Nothobranchius furzeri: one gene and its partners. The protein of the gene in region 1 purifies or fractionates together with the protein of each later gene. This does not show direct contact. Links are inferred from orthologs where the notes say so. Each region holds a gene or a part of one and is shown on either strand. Other genes may lie near its edges. The genes, in order: tyrosine-protein phosphatase non-receptor type 14, pdlim7, stxbp4, wwc1 and NEDD4-like E3 ubiquitin-protein ligase WWP1.

Region 1 (2,783 bases):
ATGTTGCAGACTTATCCCTGCTGAGCCAGGCGTTTGTGGGCTTCCTGCGCCCTGAGTACGGCGGCAAGGCATTAATTCCTACCACTGGAAATGTATTGATTAAATTAGTGAACCACACCTGTAACCATTTTTCCTTTTTCCTATTATTTAAAACACCTCCCTGCTTGACGTCGAAAGATTTATTCACACTGCTTATGGATATGTTTTTATAATTTATTTTCTCTAATTTATTTGCAAATTAACCAAATGTTCAAAAATTTCAAGCAGGTTTGTTCAGAAATGAAGGGATTTCATATAGGGAACTGAACAATGAAATATTTACCATTTCTAACCCTAACCCAGTCAGTGTCTTAAAGCCAATTCATGAAAATAACACATTGATCATATCTGCTTAGAATAAAAGTCTAAATTAAAATTCTAGTGTTTACTATGTTCTGAAAAACGTCTAATCTCAGAGCTTTTTGCATCAGTGGTATAATTCAGGCTGAATTACAGTGAAGAATAAAATAAATGAACCGAGTCAGGAAATAACTTGGAGGAGAGGATGAAAGGCAGCCATTGAAGGTTGTTTGGGCCCTTAAGCTCTAAGAGCTCTTTGGAATTACTAAAGAATGTAGTTCAAACTCCAACCCTCTTAAGAAACTCCAGTTTCTCTCATTGCAGTCTGTGAACACCAACTTAAATAATAAAAATGTGAAATAGAAGCTTGGTAACATCTGTCTGATTTATTTCCTTGGAATTAAGGTAGGGTGGTTTATTTAGGAAAATAAAGCACTTTATTCTTGATTCGACTAAAAGTACGGTGTTTACAATCAGGAGATGGACGAGAAACCAGTTGACCATTAGGTAAAAATGTTAGAACTGTGTGGAAAATGGAAAATGTGTAATTTTCATAATAAAGAGCAAAAAACTATGAGAGGAAAAAGTATCTATTTATACTGCCATCTAGTGGTGAATATGTGCAGAAACAGCGCTTTTAATCAAACTAAACCTCATTGTTTTACAGGTTTTCTTCATGAAGATTTGTGATATTAGTGTAGTTTTAATAATGATTAATAAATATTCTTTCTCAGGTTATGATCAGAGGGGAGGAGTGGCACTACATCGCCACTCAGGGCCCGCTGGCCCACACCTGCGGCGACTTCTGGCAGATGGTCTGGGAGCAGGGGGTCAATGTGATCGCCATGGTTACTGCAGAAGAGGTATACACAATGTGGCACACACAGATGTGAATAGTTTCTAGTGGCCAACAGCTGTTAGAAACAGATGGATATCTCATTCTCTACTTTCACCCACGAATCATCTCGTATCGATGTCCAATTCAGGAGTGCGGCAGGTCCAAGAGTCACCGCTACTGGCCCAAACTGGGCTCCAAACACAACTCGGCCACACACGGCAAGTACAAGGTGACCACCAAATTCCGCACCGAGTATAACTGCTACGCCACCACAGGGTTAAAGGTCAAACACTTGCTGTCTGGCCAAGAGAGGACGGTTTGGCACCTGCAGTACACCGACTGGCCTGAGCAGGGCTGTCCTGAATACGTCCCCGGATTCCTCTGTGAGTTAACGACGACAATGACAACTTTACCGTTTAACTCCTGAAGACTCACTCGGCTCTACGCCTCTTTTCTCCCTGCAGCCTACCTGGAAGGGATCCAATCTGTGAGGAGACACACCAACTCCATGCTGGATACCTCAAAGAGCCTCAACCCGCCAGTGTTGGTGCACTGCAGCGCCGGCGTGGGCCGTACCGGCGTGGTAATCCTCACTGAGCTCATGATCAGCTGCCTGGAGCACAACGAGGTGTGTAGATGCTCCTGTTACCACGGCGATTATTCATTCATATTAGTGCTGCAGCGCAGCCTCCTTCATAATTCTGTAAGTTTAAATAATTCATCTTTTTTTTGTTTTTCCTTTCCTTCCAGCCAGTAGAAGTTCCCACCATGTTGTCAAAGCTGAGGCAGCAGAGGATGCTGATGGTGCAAACCATCTCCCAGTACCAGTTCGTCTACCAGGTCCTCATCCAGTTCCTCAAGAACTCCCGCCTCATCTGAGCCGGGGCAACCCGTTAGTGCTACTAGATGATCACCGTGGGACCCAAACTTATGGCGCTATAATGTAACCTGGTACAGACTCACAATTTGTTTTTGCAGAAATTAGAATTTTCCTTTCCTCAAAGTATTCAGATTTAGGTTTTTGTTTCCTTATCTTGATTTTGGTCTTTTGAACCTGATCTTCATGTAGGTTGGTTTAAAGAACAGCCTTTCTTTTCTGCCGTGTGTCTGCATGTGTGTGAGACTACAGGTGAGCATCATCAGCTTTGAGTCCCTGTTACATTTCATGTTCCAGCCAGTATTAGACTTGGTGTCATGCTGCATGAACAGTAGGGGGCAGCAGTGGTACAACATTCTCACCCTCGTTTTGCCAAACTAAAGTATTTTTTAATTCACCGAGTGTTGATTAGAACAGCAAGCACTGACTTCAGTTCTGTAACAGATATTTTATTTATTTTGATAAAAATGTGGTCACCTTCTTCTCGTTGTTGGCGAGCACACCGATCTGAACTCATTTACAGTTTTTCAGAATAATTCTTTGTAAACTTTTCTCACATTATCTGTGAAACAAATGAAAATAAAATCCAGTTTAGACCCATAAGAGCATTTGAAAAACACGAATGTTTTAAGTCATCTAGAAATTCCAAATGATCCCATTTCTATACAACTTATCACAGTTTTTACCGTGATTTAATACATTTTAGGCATTTTCCCAAAGTGGGAGGTC
Region 2 (3,519 bases), on another chromosome or scaffold:
AGCACGTCTAGCTGCTGCTTGGCCCTTCCCACGAGACGCGACGCAGCAGAGGAGCAGCTGTCACCGACAGGGCACGAAGTCACACGAGTGACTTCGTCAGTAAACACAACAACAAGCAGGAGAAAACTACAACATGGTTCCAAAATGTTTGTGTTTTTATATTCTGTCCATTTTATAATCGCCAATACGGACCTGAAAAACAAAGGAGACCGCTAGTTGGTGATAACTTCTCACGGGGCCGCACAGTTAGTAACCTTTTTTAAAGTAAAGCGACCGGAAGGCAGTACGTTCTTTATTCTGAAAATCTCGGGAGCTTCTCTCCATTTCCGCGTCCGATTTCCTGTCTTTCCTTCCCCAAAAATGTCAAACTTGACCCGTTTCAGAGGCGTCGCGCGTAGGAAATAGAACCGGCGCGTAAAGGCCGCGACATGCTGCTCCTGAGACGCGGCCGACTCGCGCTGCTGACGGCTCCTGTGGAAAAGGTTCTGTTGACCACAGCCGTTCCTATCAGCAGCTATGACGTGCTGCTGCAGTAACGTGCTGCTGACGGCTGCTGTGGAAAGCCGGGGTAAGTGTTTTTCTCCCCACAAGAAGCTACAATGATGTTCTGCTGAGCTGTGGTGGCCTCATGGAGGGGGCTATCATCTAGCACACTGCTGCTAACCACTTAAACATTCTCCCTCTCCTGATAATAACTTTTTGCTTTCCTTGATGCTGGATGTGCTACTACTAGTTTATCCGTTTAATTATAGATCCACTAGGATACATACAATAAAGTTTATCTCTCACCAAATGGAATATTTACTAAGAAATCACAATATAACTATAGACAAATTACTTCGTCTTTGTGTGTGTGTGTGTGTGTGTGTGTGTGTGTGTGTGTGTGTGTGTGCCTGTTCTGTCTTCTCCATCCCCAGTGAGTCGTGGAGGATGGCTGCTTATACTGAGCCAGGATTCTCTGGAGGTTTTTTCCTGTTAAAAGGGAGTTTTCCTCTCCACTGTCGCTTTATGCTTGCTTAGTATGAGGATTGCTGCAATTTGAATGGCTTAATGAACTGACCTGAATTGGAATGTTTGTTATGTGAAGTGCCTTGAGACAACTCTTGTTGTGATTTGGCGCTATATAAATAAAATTGAATTGAATTGAATTGAATTATGAAGTTTTCAGACCCTGTTTTTATGAATAAGGCCCCTGTCACTTTTGTGAATGAGAATTGACATCTCAATGAGTCCCTCACCTGGTTAAATAAATAATTAAATAAAAATTGTGTGTTTTCATCTTCTCCAGGGGTCGGTACCTGGTGGCCCTGGGTCAGTCCTGGCACCCAGAGGAGTTTACATGCTCTCATTGTAAGGCAGTTCTTGAGGAAGGGGGCTTCTTCGAGGAGAGAGGATCTGTCTACTGCACAAAGTGCCATGATAACCGATATGCTTCGACCTGTGCCAAGTGCAAGAAGAAGATTTCTGGAGTAAGAGCTGCTATTTTTTTCTTTTCTGTTCTTTCAGAAAACTTCAAACCAGAAAGTTAGCTTGACCAGAAAAGGAAAAAGATAAACATGTGAAACTTCTGTTTTCAGGAGATCATGCACGCTCTGAAGATGACCTACCATGTTCAATGTTTTAAATGTGCTGCCTGCAAAGTTCCCATCCGGAATCAGGCTTTTTACATGGAGGAGGGTGAGCCATACTGTGAGAGAGGTGAGACACATTCACATACGCATGTAATGCAGTTAATCATGTAATCCAAGTTTTCATTTTATGTTTTTTAAGATTTCTAGTAAACGTGTTAAACAGCAACACATCTATTTAATTTCTAAAATATGATGAGTTCAACTTCCGCATGTCTGAGAGGAGTCAGTGCTCCGCTTTGTGAAGATGTGCGCGCCCACACGCACAAAGAAGTGAATCCATTAAAATTGAGTCATTCAAATCGAAAAGAAAAGGAGAAAGAGAATAAGTTAGACTGAATTAACGTCCAACGAATAAAAGTGAGTTTTTAAACGAGACTTAAAAAGGGAAAGAGAGGACGAGAGTCTGATCAGGAGGGGCAAGTGGTTCCAGAGCTTCGGTGCACAAACTGAAAAGGCGTGCTCCCAGCGGGATTTACAGCAGGAGCTAGGGACATGTAGGAAGCGCTGGTCAGCTGATCGGAGGGATCTTGTAAGGGCATATGGGTGAATGAGCTCAGACAAGTAGCCAGGTGCTAAGGTATTGAGGGATTTAAACACAAAAACCAGGATCTTAAACTCTATCCGGAGATGGATGGGTAGCCAATGGAGATTTGCTAAAACCGGTGTGATGTGTTCTCGCTGCCTGGTGCCAGTCAAGAATCGAGCTGCTGCGTTCTGCACAAGCTGAAGGCGAGCGAGAGTGGAGGAGGAGATACCATATAGCACTGAGTTAGAGTAGTCGAGACGGGAGGTAATGAAAGCATGGACTACTGAATGGAGATGACGCCTTTTTAAAATGGACTTAACTTTAGAGAGACGCCTCAGGTGGTAAAAACAGGTCTTAACTTCCTGGTTGACATGAATGTCCATTTTTAGTTTTGCATCCATCACAACCCCTAAGTTTGTGACATGGGTTTTCAACCCACTTGTGATAAAAGGAAGGGTCAGTTGGGGACTTTGAGAAGTCCTAGGGCTGAAAATGATGGCCTCTGTCTTGGCATCGTTCAGCAAAAGAAAGTTTTCTGACAGCCAGCTCTTCACATCATTGCAGCATTCAACGAGGAGCTGTAAGGAGTCATTAGGCTGAACTATAAAGAGAAACAGGATCACTTTACAGCATTCAAAAATTACGGCATTAGTAATAAGCAGTTAATAAATGCTTAATAATGACAAGTTCAGACTTAGTAGTCCACTAATACGCATATTAATTGGCAGCTAATTAATGGTTAATTTGTGTTCCCTAAGCTAAAGTGTTACCTTTTTTTTATTTGCTGATAACCAGTATAGATGAGTGTCGTAATGGTGCTGTAGACATGTGTAATCATTAGTGTCACAGTTAAGTTCAACTTACTTCAAATTTAATATTTCAGCCCACAACCGTAATTATATCTCCATCTTCAGGTTAAAAACTCTGCTCCACATTTATCTAGAAAAACTACAATTTTTTACATTCAGGAATTGCTCTTGACTCCTGTATAATCTTTGACTCTTCCCATTTGATCACGTGTTGCACGGGAGCTGGTGTCTTGCTCCCATAGTGCACTCTGGTTTTGGTTAAATACGAGCCACAGATCTAAGTTGTGCGTTTATTTATGAAATCTTTGTAGAATCTAGTCGCACTAATTAGCGCCAATGGAGACGAGCTCTGGTGTAACAATGAGAGGTTCAGTCATGACACTCTATAGACCGCCTGATGCTGACGAGGGGATTTCTCCTGTCAGTGTGATAGGAAGAGGTGAGCTGCTGCTAACCCTAACCCAACAAGCTTTAGTTCATAGAAACACGTTCTATGCCCAGACTGTAGTGACTTGTTATTTATAATGTTATAATTGATATTAAGTGAATGCAC
Region 3 (3,519 bases), on another chromosome or scaffold:
TCTCTTGTTTCTGCTCAGGGAAACTGATGGACACGGCATCCTCCTCCTCTTCCTCCCGATCAGAGAGCCCCCAACTCCTCAGTCCCAAAGAGGGAGGTGTCACTGCCTACCCCCACACGCCGCACTACACTAGCAACCCCGCCTACAGCATGCACACATCAGTGCACGCCTTCAGGTACAACAGCTGCAGAGGGTTTGAGAAGACTGATGGGGTTGTCTGTGCTGCACACCCAGAATAAACCTAATATAAAAAGTGATCAAAAAGAGAAAAAAGAGAAAAATAAATAAATAAAAATAAAAAAAATGGGACACACAACAATACAACAAGAGCAAGCTATCACTGCGTCAACTTGAACAATCAACATTGTTTAACTGAACAATCACACGATAATTAATCACAGTGCATTTAGTGCCCACCATAGCCTTAAGACCTGTGTTGAACGTGCCCAAAGCCATACTTATGAGAGCACCATGTGAGTACCTGTGTGCGTACACGCGCTTGTATATGTAAGGTTTCTCTATGGGAGCATCCAGTAGAGAGTGTGAGGGGCCACATATCTGCCCCCCAAAGATGCATATGAGATGGAGGGAGCTCCAAGTCCCAGAGATCCAGGTGCTGCCCCAGAATACAGGAACCCCAAGGAGACTGCAACCAGAAAGGCCCCCGCCCCCCTCAAGAGGTGCAGAGGATTGCCCCAGGGGGCCACAACCAGCAGCCGGCAGAATCCCGGGAGATATAAGTGGCAAGCCCACAGGCCCGCCCGCAGCCTCCCACCCCCTAGCCGGCCGAGCCCAGGACCCAGCGACCCGGGACCCAGGGGCGACCACCCCCGCCGGGGACCCAGCAGAGCCCAGGGACCCAGACCCCACCAGGCAGCCACCGGGATTGATCAGGCAGACGCCAAAAATCTTAAACCCCCTGACCCGGGAGCATGGACATAATTGGGGGGGGGGGGGGGTGACATGTCCCCCCCACTTTTTCCAAGTCAAGTTTTGACCCCTGCACTTTTTACCATCCAAAAACAATATTACTTTATATTAAATTGACACTGGTTGAGCTCTAGGACCAAGCGGAAAACAACCGTTTGTGTTGAAGCCTGTTTCCCATTAGAGCATACTGTAAAGATACCCCCCCACCCCCGTGTCCCCCCCACTTCTAAAGCGAAAATGACGTCCATGCCCGGGAACCACGAACATTCAGGCAGACCAAGGCACCGCACTCCACACCAGGTGTGGCAGGGAGGGGGAAGACGAAGATCTATATCATCAAAAGAAGTCCCAGGAGAAGGGAGGAGTCAAAGGCCCCACCTGACATATATAGTCATACACAAACACAGTCAAGTCACACACTCCCTTCCTCATGCTCACACATACACATACAACCAAAGACTTACAAAAATGCACGCTGGACACCCACTCATGCTCTCCATACACACCCTATTCACTCTGGTCCCGGTACTGCTGCACATGGGGTACAACCATTGCCGGTTCCCAGAGTTTGACCCTTTCTGCTGGGGTGCTGATGAGCAGGTTCCCCCGCCCAACGCTTAGCACAGCAACCCACCACCCCAGACTCCAACCAGATGGCCAGATCTCCCTCCTAGCCTCCAGCCCCAGGAAGCCAAGCAACAATAGAGGTGTGCAAAGACCCCTAGTCTCCCTCCGCCTGCTCCAATATAGCGTTAGTGTGTGTTGATGAGGTGTATTCCATGGCTTTGGTGAGCGGGCAGTGCGGCCTTCGTCTGGCCTATGCCAGCTGATGCCACCACACCACCCCATTGCACCCACAGTAAGTGAAGTTCGGGGGGGTGGGGGGGTGGGTGAGGGGGTGGGGGGTGGGGGGGTGGGGGGGGGGGGGGTCATAGTCTAGGGGAGACGCTGTGTGTGTGTGTGTGTGTGTGTGTGTGTATATATATATATATATATATATATATATATATATATATATATATATATATATATATATATATATATATATATATATATATATATATATATATATATATACAGTACAGGCCAAAAGTTTGGACACACCTTCTCATTCAATGTGTTGTCTTTATTTTCATGACCATTAACATTGGGAGATTCTCACTGAAGGCATCAAAACTATGAATGAACACATGTGGAGTTATGTACTTAACCAAAAAAGGTGAAATAACAGAAATCATGTTTTTTATTCTATTTTCTTCAAAATAGCCACCCTTTGCTCTGATTACTGCTTTACACACTCTTGGCATTCTCTTGATGAGGTTCAAGAGGTAGTCCCCTGAAAAGGGGTTTCCACCAGTCTTAAAGGACTACCTCTTGGAGCTCATCAAGAGAATTCCAAGAGTGTGTTTAGATAAGGCTGGTATTTTCCTGTCGTCAGCCTTTATAAAATGAAATCACCTGAGGTTATCCCTAACTGAGATTCTCTCCATTTTTCATCCTGTTTAATGCAGCTGCTACAGAATGTTTTTCTCTCGGTTACACAAACGTTAAACTGTGAACCTGCTTCATGGAAACACCAGCAAAACCTATAAATAGTGAAACGCTACTTCAGCTCTTTTAAATGCAGAGCAAGAGAAGGAGGGTTAGAGATTATTTCATGCTGCTGCTGACTAAGTCATCCTCTCGTCTCTTCTCCTTTTCCTCAGTGACAGTGTCATTCAGTTGATATGTGTGGCCAAGGGAACCGGCTTGGGGCTGGTCGTTAAGGGAGGAGCCAATCGAGCCGAAGGACCAATGGTGTTCATTCAGGAAATTGTTTCTGGAGGAGACTGCCAGAAGGTCAGCTTCTGCCATGTTCAGCACACATTTGAGGATGGTATTTGTTTTCCAGACTCATCTTTAAGTTTGTTGAAGATCATCTGCTGTGCATTTTTGTTTTCATGTGAAATCTCCTCCAACTTAAAGTCTGAAAACATCTTCAGTAGTAAAATTTTGGAGATGATTTTTCCAATTAGACTTTGGGTCAGGAGACCTGGTACACAGCAGAACCTGACTGCTGGATTTGTTCTGTTTCAGGATGGCCGCCTGCAGGTGGGAGACCAGTTGGTGTCCATCAACAAAGAGTCTCTGATTGGTGTGACATATGAGGAGGCCAGGAGCATCCTGACTCGCACCAAGCTCAGGTCCAACTCACTTGGAGCAGGAAGTTATTCACCAACCAATGGGGAAGAGTTTGAATTCATCCTGACCTTGTATTTCAGACCTGACCCTACCGTGGAAATTGCCTTCATCAGAAGGAGATCGTCTTCCAGCTCCAGTAGCGGCTCACACAGCCCTGTCTGCCTGCAGGGGGGTGGAGGTGGGCCCCAGTCGAGGGCCACTGGCCCAGGCCCCATGGCTCCACAGCCAAGTGTTGTCACCAAGATCACATCAAGCCGAAACCCAACCTGTGAGACGCTGCCCCCAGTCAACATCACCCAGGTCTGAGAGGAGACAAATACGCACGAGCTGCTGCAAACCGGCTCTCGTTTCAGCTTATTTACAGAAACAGCTTCTTAAAACACTGATTCAATGGTTTTATGATGCACA
Region 4 (3,519 bases), on another chromosome or scaffold:
TCATTCACTGACCAATGAGCAGACAGGATGCTCCGTACACCTCCGAGCAAACATGGAGGAGAAGTTGATACTTGCTGTGACGGATTTCCCAGAACTGTACAATATTTCTACCAAAGAATATAGAGAAGTTCCCAAAAGGGAAATTGTCGGTGCCAGAAAGAACACATTGGGATCGTACTTGAGGTCCCTCATTAAATGATGGTATTCTCCGTTTCTTTCTCTGGTTTGTAATATGGGACGAACCCATTCTCGAAGTTTTTTTTATATTGTAAAATCAGAAGTAAGATTTCACATAACTCTAGCGGCACCTTGTGACACATCATATCTACCACTTTTTTAACTCTGAACCACTTAAATAACCTTAATTCCCTCCAACCTGACACAGCCAATCAAAACAACGGATGATTCGATTTCGCCATGGAACAGAACGCGCCGACGGCTTTGCCGCTGCCGCGGGTCGCCTCCCGTGTGTCAGGTAATTAAAGCGACGAATTTCGCTGATCGAGGTTGTTTGTCGCCTCCCGTGTGTCGAGCTCATCAAACTGTAGTTTGTTGATGCGATGATGATTTAGAGGAACGAGAATATTTCAGCATTAATGTAGCTTTGAATCTGATCGCCAAACAGTCTCACAGCAGTACATCTTCAGGAGTGTCGTCAAACATCTCTGGCCCTTGTGACCTTCAGGGGGAAGGGATTTATGAGATAATAGGAGTGTGTATTAGCGAGAATCTGGCCGTACGATGTTAATCACAGTACAGGGGAGACGATATGATATATTGCAATACTAAAAGCAAGCATCATATTTGCTGTTCTTAACTCGTTCATTTTTTACTGTGTGGGCGTCGGACGAGCCCCCGCACCGTGAGAACAAACATCTCAGCTCTAAAGTTGATCTTCATCCGCATACGTCACACGTCACGTGATCAGGAAGCAGAACATCCATGTGTTAGGAGATCGTTTTGGGCCACTGTTGTAAAAAAAGTGAGGCGCGAACCGGAAAAGCTTCTGCCGACCACAATTCAACAACGGATTATGAAAGAACGGATAACGCTCGAAACGTGCGGATTCTTCCTGATGTAAGAGGTGAGTCTCCGCTTTGTTTTGGCGTTGACATCATCCTAGCGCGCACCGTTCAGTGACTCTTAAAAAAACAGTAAAAACAGTGAGAAATGCTGGCAGCGAATGAGTTAAGAGTGAATTTAATCAAGAACTCGACCCAGACGCTTCCAGACACGCCCAGTGTTATCGTGGTTCCTTCTGACAGAAATGGGTAAAAACTGCTGCCACCTAGCTGTTGGAGTTTGAGTTACATCTCACAAAATAAATACAGTAAATGTTTGCATGTAAATTCACAGTAAAAGAATCGATGCACCGCTTTCAAATATTGATTCAGTATCAGAACATGAAATATCGCAATACTTCAGCATATCGATATGTCCTTACATCCCCACAAGATGTTGTCCTGTAATAAACTCTCCATAAAGAGGACGTCTAGCCTTTTCTGAACCTGCTAGAGCTAAAACATCTGCTTTAGTTTGTTTCTGTGCTGTTTGCTTCGTAGCAAACGCTCCGGCTGGTCTGAAGCTAACAAACAAGCTGCAACGGGACGTTTAATGTTTGTCCTGCAGGTACGTCCGCCTGGCGGTGCTGCCCTCCGTCCAGGCCATGCGTTGCCTCTTCCGAACACGCAGCTCGCTGCCTCAGGAAGTCGTGGAGATCAACGAGGTGTTTGGCATGCAGATTTCCCACGGTGCGTTGCGGCAGAAGACGCTGAGGGTTGACGTCTGTGACGGCAGCACGTCGGGCCTCGAGGAGTGTCTGGTTAGTGTGATGATCCCGTTAGACGTGACGAGTTTAGACGGATGTAATAAAATTTGTTCTTCCTCCAGGCGGGGGCTCAGATCAGCCTGGCTGACATCAGCTGTTCGGAGGACAGGTGCACCAAGTGGTACAACCTACTGAGTCGCCTCTACATGCCTGAGATCAGCAACAAGGACAGAGGGAGCAGAGCAACGGGTGACTCTGATCAGGTACCGGTGGGGGGGACACTGACACCTGGTGGTTGGGTTGGAAAGGACACTCAGCAGCTAAACAACAAAACCCGCCATTTTTAAAGTTGCTCTTGTTAGTTTAATAATAAAAAACAATCCGCACTTAAATGTAGGTAAACGTCACCTGACTGATCATCACTTTAACACCTTATTGTAGATTTGCTGCTGAGTTCTGAGTAATGGACGAGATGTTTTGTTTCAGGCTGGTGTTGGTAGCAGAGAGGAGGACCGAGCTGGTGATGATTGGTGAGTTTTACCTCCTCTTTGGTTCTGCTGCTCCTTCTGTAGAAAGCCTCGTCCCTGGTTCACAGCTTCTGACCTGATGATAAATAAATGGGGTTTGGCTTTTAAATCTTCAGGTGCAGCGGTCATCTGAAGGCAGATGTACTTGATGAAGATGAGGGTGGAGATGGGGAGGAGCTTCAGGAGGAAGAAGATGAGTTCTACCCTGAGAGCAGCCAGTGGGAGACGGAGGAGGAGGAGGAGGTGACCAAACCCCCTCCAGCTGCAGCACCCATCACAGAGAAGGTAGAACTTTGTTTCTGCTGGTTGTGGATGAAGACGGATAGTTACGGATGCCAGTAGGTCTAAAGTCTTCATCGTCTCCTCCGTCCAGGTGAACAAGGAGACCAGTACGGATGGATTATCCTCGTCCCATCACTGCTTCGTGGTTCGACCCAAAGAGCGCCGCCCGGACGTCCACCAGCAGAACCCGTTCATGAGGGGCAACACCATCATTCGCTCCAAGACCTTTTCCCCTGGACCTCAGAGCCAGTACATCTGCAGGGTACCAGAACCGCTCCCATGGCAACAGAAAGAGGAACTTCTCATGTTTCTGATGGTTTTATTCTAAAAGCTGTTTTGATTTGCAGATTAATCGCAGCGACAGCGACAGCTCCACCCTCTCCAAGAGGTCTCCGTTTGTCAGGAATGCCTCAGAACGGCGAAGCATGCGCATGAAGAAGGTAGAGAGTTATTCCTGCTGTGAGATAGGCGTCTTTAACATCGGAGTCAGTGGGAACTTGCTCCTTTCTGGAGTCAGCCCCGAGCGGATGAGATGCAGTAAACATTTGTGACGATGTGTTTGGTGTTTACTGCAGGTTTTTATTGTTTTTCTGAGAGCAGCTGCATCTTTTTAACCGACTTAAGCGGTTCTGGGCCAGTGTGTGTGTGGACTAGGGGTTGTATCGACTAGTCGACTTCACTGCTTTTTATGCCTTTCATCGACTAGTCGCTGTCACGTGATGATGACTGACAAGATGCAGTCCTCAGAAAAGTCAGCAGGTGACAAGCTCCTGCGCATCCGGAGGCAACGCGCTGTGCCAGAGCGTCGGTACTGACGCCCGCCGTAAAACGGACATCTAACCAAATTGTGACATTTACCCTCTTGCAATTTAACCTTCCCCTCACCCCCATCCTAACCTTAACCAGCTTGCACATGCAAAGCTGTGATTGTTGACGCGCTCC
Region 5 (3,519 bases), on another chromosome or scaffold:
ACCATCGGTCCGTAGTTTCATAGCCTCCTTTAGCTCCTTAGGCTGTGCCGACTTTTAGCTCTTTGCTTCTCCTCCAGAGACACTACTCTCCTACTTCCAGGCTCTGCCATGATGCCAACAGAATTGAGTTTTCTTCTTGAGCTATTTATTCACTGTTTGCCAACTGCTACTCTTTATTTTAGCTACTGACACAATAAACAGCTAACAGCTCATAGAGAGCTCCCCCTAGGACACCTAACTGTCCCACAAAACTGTTTAGTGCGGTGTCTGGTCAGAAGACGGCTGTCCAACACTGGCTCACTGAACTGCTGCATTTCCCTGGGTCCTCCATTCATCACACACACTCAGTTATTTAGCATCAGAATACCACTGGTGTGAGAGGTTCTCCGCTCAATAACATCAGAGAATCAGAAACAGGTGGCTGCTACCACTTCAACTTTAGGACAAACTACCAGAAAGAAAAACACCATTTGAAGTCACAGACAACAAAAAATGCTTGGATCTAGAAACTGGTGACTGGTGTTTAGCACTCTCTCTGACAATGCGGGTTCCCATATCAGGGGGGAGTGGCCTAGGGATGATGGCTGACAAGAAGGGTGAGAGTTCTCTGACTGTCTTTGTGTTTAAAAGTTAGCCAGTTTTGCAGATTTTTTTATTGCAGCTTTAATTTCCGGATGTTTTTCAATCAGCAGCCATTCATATGTTTTCACTTTTATGCACGAACCTGCACATAATCTGTATTTCTGTAATTAGTCATCTCTTGTGTTCCTGTAGGCCCTTTTCCACGGGAAGTTCATCGACACGGGCTTCTCCTTGCCTTTCTACAAACGCATGCTGAACAAGAAGCTGATCCTTAAAGACCTGGAGTCCATCGACCCAGAATTCTACAACTCACTCATATGGATCAGGTAAACATCAGGGCTGTAGCATCGTTTGGTGTGGCCGATAGACATGCAGGTTACGGGTGTTACGAATCACCTTCAAGATTCCTTCAAGAGGAAAGTTCTTTTAAAATATTACTGAAAGGATTTTGTTCATTCACGTGATTTCTGAGAGAAAAAGCATCCCATTATGAACAAATGTGCTCAGTGCTCCATGTTTAGAGTCCGTTTGAACAAACCCTTCTTCTCTTCATAGGCGTTTATTCAGTTTGGGAGGTATTTTTGAACCCACAACCCTACCTGCATCGGAAATAAGAGCAAGGACAACATTTCAAACGTTGAAAATGAAAAAGACTCCTGAGTACCAGATCTTTAAGTTAACACTGTGGAACAGAACTAAATAAATCACTGAGATAAAAGAGAACTGAAAAAAAAAGTGAATAAAATGTTGCATAAGTTATATCTTTGCAGGCTTTGTCATTAATTGTTTAGATTTTAACCAGCTCCATGAGACTTTTACCAGGTCTAGCCGGTACAGCAACAGGGTTTTTCCTGAATCAAATGGAGGCAGAGGTGGTACCGTCCTGACCATGCACCAGCACATGCATACTCGGTGCATTCAACTGCCTCACTTTTTTGAAGGCAAAATATTTTTTTGTCAAGTGTTCTAATCTAAGCTTCTGTTGATGAATAGAGTATTCCATTTGACAATATTTCAAGTGAAACAAAACTGGTTTGCTGCTAAAAATTACGAAATAAAACAACAAAATGATCAGGCTGAAATAACAGACTTATTATAAAAGGCTCAATAATATGCATTAGATTGGTGTTTAGTTCCCTTTTCCCATCTGATATTTATAGTTAAAAATATTTTTAAATATTTAACCTACATTTCAGTAACATTTTAGGTTTGTATTAATAACACTCATCTTAGTCAAAATAACACATAAATATATCCAGTAAAATATAATGCATTTCATTAACATGCATTTGTATTGGAAATGGTAATAACATTTCATTTCTGCTGCTAACAGTGTAATGGTGGCATGTCCATTATGTACGGGTTGGCAATAATCCAGTTCAAATTATGTTCAGAGATAGAAGCGTTTGTGGATTATATACTACAACGGCTTGCCTTAGACTTGTAGCAGTAATGTCACTCGTATCTGCAGCGGTTCTGATCCAGAGTGCTGCAGGATGCAGGATAAACAGGATGGTGGGGACTTTTCATCCGCTTGTAGAGTTTAGTCTTAGTTTTTCGATCATCATATATTTTTCTGTGCGCCACTTGATCGTGAGACTGCTACCTGTTAGCTTTAGCCTATCTGTGTGTAGCAGCACTTTTGATCCCAAACTTTGGACCAGTTCTGCCTTTGCTGGTTCCTTTATTTTCCTCCACTGCATCCAGATTTCCACACTGTGTGCCAGTAAAAAGCATTTTTCTTACACGTAACTTACTTTTGTTCAATAAAGTTCTGGGGAAAATAGACAGACACACACAGACAGTGTTTTTTTTTTTTTTGTCGCACTGAGCCCTACTCTGATATGGAAGAGCCTGGGGGAAAATCAGGACGTCAATAGCACCAACCAAAGATATGTACCAACTAGCGAGAAAAGCCATTTTTCATCTTTTTTTGCAGCGGTTTTCGCGCTTTTTAGTGCACTGCTGCTGATACAGCACCTGTGTAGTGGCGCAACGCTGCAACTGCAGTTAAAATAACATCCATATAGCTGGGGGCAGAGTGAAATCAGGCTGGGGCGGCACAACATTAGCTGGAGGTGGCCGCCACGCAAATTTGAACGCAGGAAAAACCCTGAGCACGAACCACGGCAGGTGTCGTGATAGATGGCTTTATGTAGAGAATGTGTCAAGCACCTGCTGGCCTCGCAGATCATCACAGCCTCAGGCCACCATGTTGGTTTACCCTTACACATACGAGCTGCATTTCTCTGTCAGCTCTTCACTTGGCGAGTCCGGGGGTTCTTTTTCCACATAAAGGTCCTGAAACTAAACTAAACTGAACCAGAGCTCTCTTAGCACGTAACGTTTTACATTTCCACTGGTCACACCTCAGACTTCTGCACCAAACAGCCTCCTCTCTGCTGGACTGGAGGGAAGAGCTGCCTGAGGCAGGATCAGGGAGACCCACAGCCTGAAAGTGTTGTGAGCAGCTCTGAGTCAGTTTCTTTGTTTTCATTTGAAACAAGAAACAAGTATGAGCTTGTCGACACACTGAAATGTCATGATACTAAATCTGTGTTTAAAAGCTGTGCATTGATTTATTTTTATTGAGCATTTTCATTCAAACATTTCCAGAATTTTTATTGTGTGGTGCAATTCACACTCCAACTGCTAGGGGGCAGCAGGATTTTCCTCCTTTATTCTCACAAAATCACCAGAGGTGTCTGAACTGACTTGTACGATTAATTTTAGTCCTAAAAATTGCGACTATCATCTGACTTTTCGTGCCAGAATATGTCGTGTTGCCAGATTCTTGCCAGGACACACCCCTAATAAGCAGGATCTCCTCCCCTCAGGGACAACAACATAGAGGAATGTGGTCTGGAGATGTACTTCTCAGTTGACATGGAGATCTTGGGGAAGATCACTTCTCATGACCTCAAACCCGATGGCGCC

What was found.
Region 2: the proteins of tyrosine-protein phosphatase non-receptor type 14 (region 1) and pdlim7 purify together in Homo sapiens (affinity purification with mass spectrometry; 3 studies listed by BioGRID and IntAct, counting the BioPlex papers as one, with this or other methods). This does not show direct contact. The link is inferred for Nothobranchius furzeri from reciprocal best matches to the Homo sapiens genes PTPN14 and PDLIM7.
Region 3: the proteins of tyrosine-protein phosphatase non-receptor type 14 (region 1) and stxbp4 purify together in Homo sapiens (affinity purification with mass spectrometry; 3 studies listed by BioGRID and IntAct, counting the BioPlex papers as one, with this or other methods). This does not show direct contact. The link is inferred for Nothobranchius furzeri from reciprocal best matches to the Homo sapiens genes PTPN14 and STXBP4.
Region 4: the proteins of tyrosine-protein phosphatase non-receptor type 14 (region 1) and wwc1 purify together in Homo sapiens (affinity purification with mass spectrometry; 7 studies listed by BioGRID and IntAct, counting the BioPlex papers as one, with this or other methods). This does not show direct contact. The link is inferred for Nothobranchius furzeri from reciprocal best matches to the Homo sapiens genes PTPN14 and WWC1.
Region 5: the proteins of tyrosine-protein phosphatase non-receptor type 14 (region 1) and NEDD4-like E3 ubiquitin-protein ligase WWP1 purify together in Homo sapiens (affinity purification with mass spectrometry; 3 studies listed by BioGRID). This does not show direct contact. The link is inferred for Nothobranchius furzeri from reciprocal best matches to the Homo sapiens genes PTPN14 and WWP1.

Annotation. Positions count from the first base shown.
Region 1 is NC_091742.1:4,858,015-4,860,797, reverse strand, and holds the end of tyrosine-protein phosphatase non-receptor type 14, read left to right. Parts: intron 1-1,073; coding exon 1,074-1,202; intron 1,203-1,325; coding exon 1,326-1,560; intron 1,561-1,641; coding exon 1,642-1,805; intron 1,806-1,927; coding exon 1,928-2,056; 3' UTR 2,057-2,273; downstream 2,274-2,783. UniProt on the Homo sapiens protein: Protein tyrosine phosphatase which may play a role in the regulation of lymphangiogenesis, cell-cell adhesion, cell-matrix adhesion, cell migration, cell growth and also regulates TGF-beta gene expression, thereby modulating epithelial-mesenchymal transition.
Region 2 is NC_091741.1:103,112,475-103,115,993, reverse strand, and holds part of pdlim7 (PDZ and LIM domain protein 7), read left to right. Parts: intron 1-1,288; coding exon 1,289-1,469; intron 1,470-1,577; coding exon 1,578-1,698; intron 1,699-3,519. UniProt on the Homo sapiens protein: May function as a scaffold on which the coordinated assembly of proteins can occur. May play a role as an adapter that, via its PDZ domain, localizes LIM-binding proteins to actin filaments of both skeletal muscle and nonmuscle tissues.
Region 3 is NC_091756.1:51,671,561-51,675,079, reverse strand, and holds part of stxbp4 (syntaxin-binding protein 4), read left to right. Parts: intron 1-18; coding exon 19-175; intron 176-2,636; coding exon 2,637-2,769; intron 2,770-3,006; coding exon 3,007-3,113; intron 3,114-3,191; coding exon 3,192-3,411; intron 3,412-3,519. UniProt on the Homo sapiens protein: Plays a role in the translocation of transport vesicles from the cytoplasm to the plasma membrane. Inhibits the translocation of SLC2A4 from intracellular vesicles to the plasma membrane by STX4A binding and preventing the interaction between STX4A and VAMP2.
Region 4 is NC_091750.1:71,332,290-71,335,808, forward strand, and holds part of wwc1 (protein KIBRA), read left to right. Parts: intron 1-1,629; coding exon 1,630-1,822; intron 1,823-1,890; coding exon 1,891-2,031; intron 2,032-2,254; coding exon 2,255-2,298; intron 2,299-2,411; coding exon 2,412-2,580; intron 2,581-2,668; coding exon 2,669-2,839; intron 2,840-2,924; coding exon 2,925-3,017; intron 3,018-3,519. UniProt on the Homo sapiens protein: Regulator of the Hippo signaling pathway, also known as the Salvador-Warts-Hippo (SWH) pathway.
Region 5 is NC_091747.1:36,665,744-36,669,262, reverse strand, and holds part of NEDD4-like E3 ubiquitin-protein ligase WWP1, read left to right. Parts: intron 1-774; coding exon 775-908; intron 909-3,419; coding exon 3,420-3,519. UniProt on the Homo sapiens protein: E3 ubiquitin-protein ligase which accepts ubiquitin from an E2 ubiquitin-conjugating enzyme in the form of a thioester and then directly transfers the ubiquitin to targeted substrates.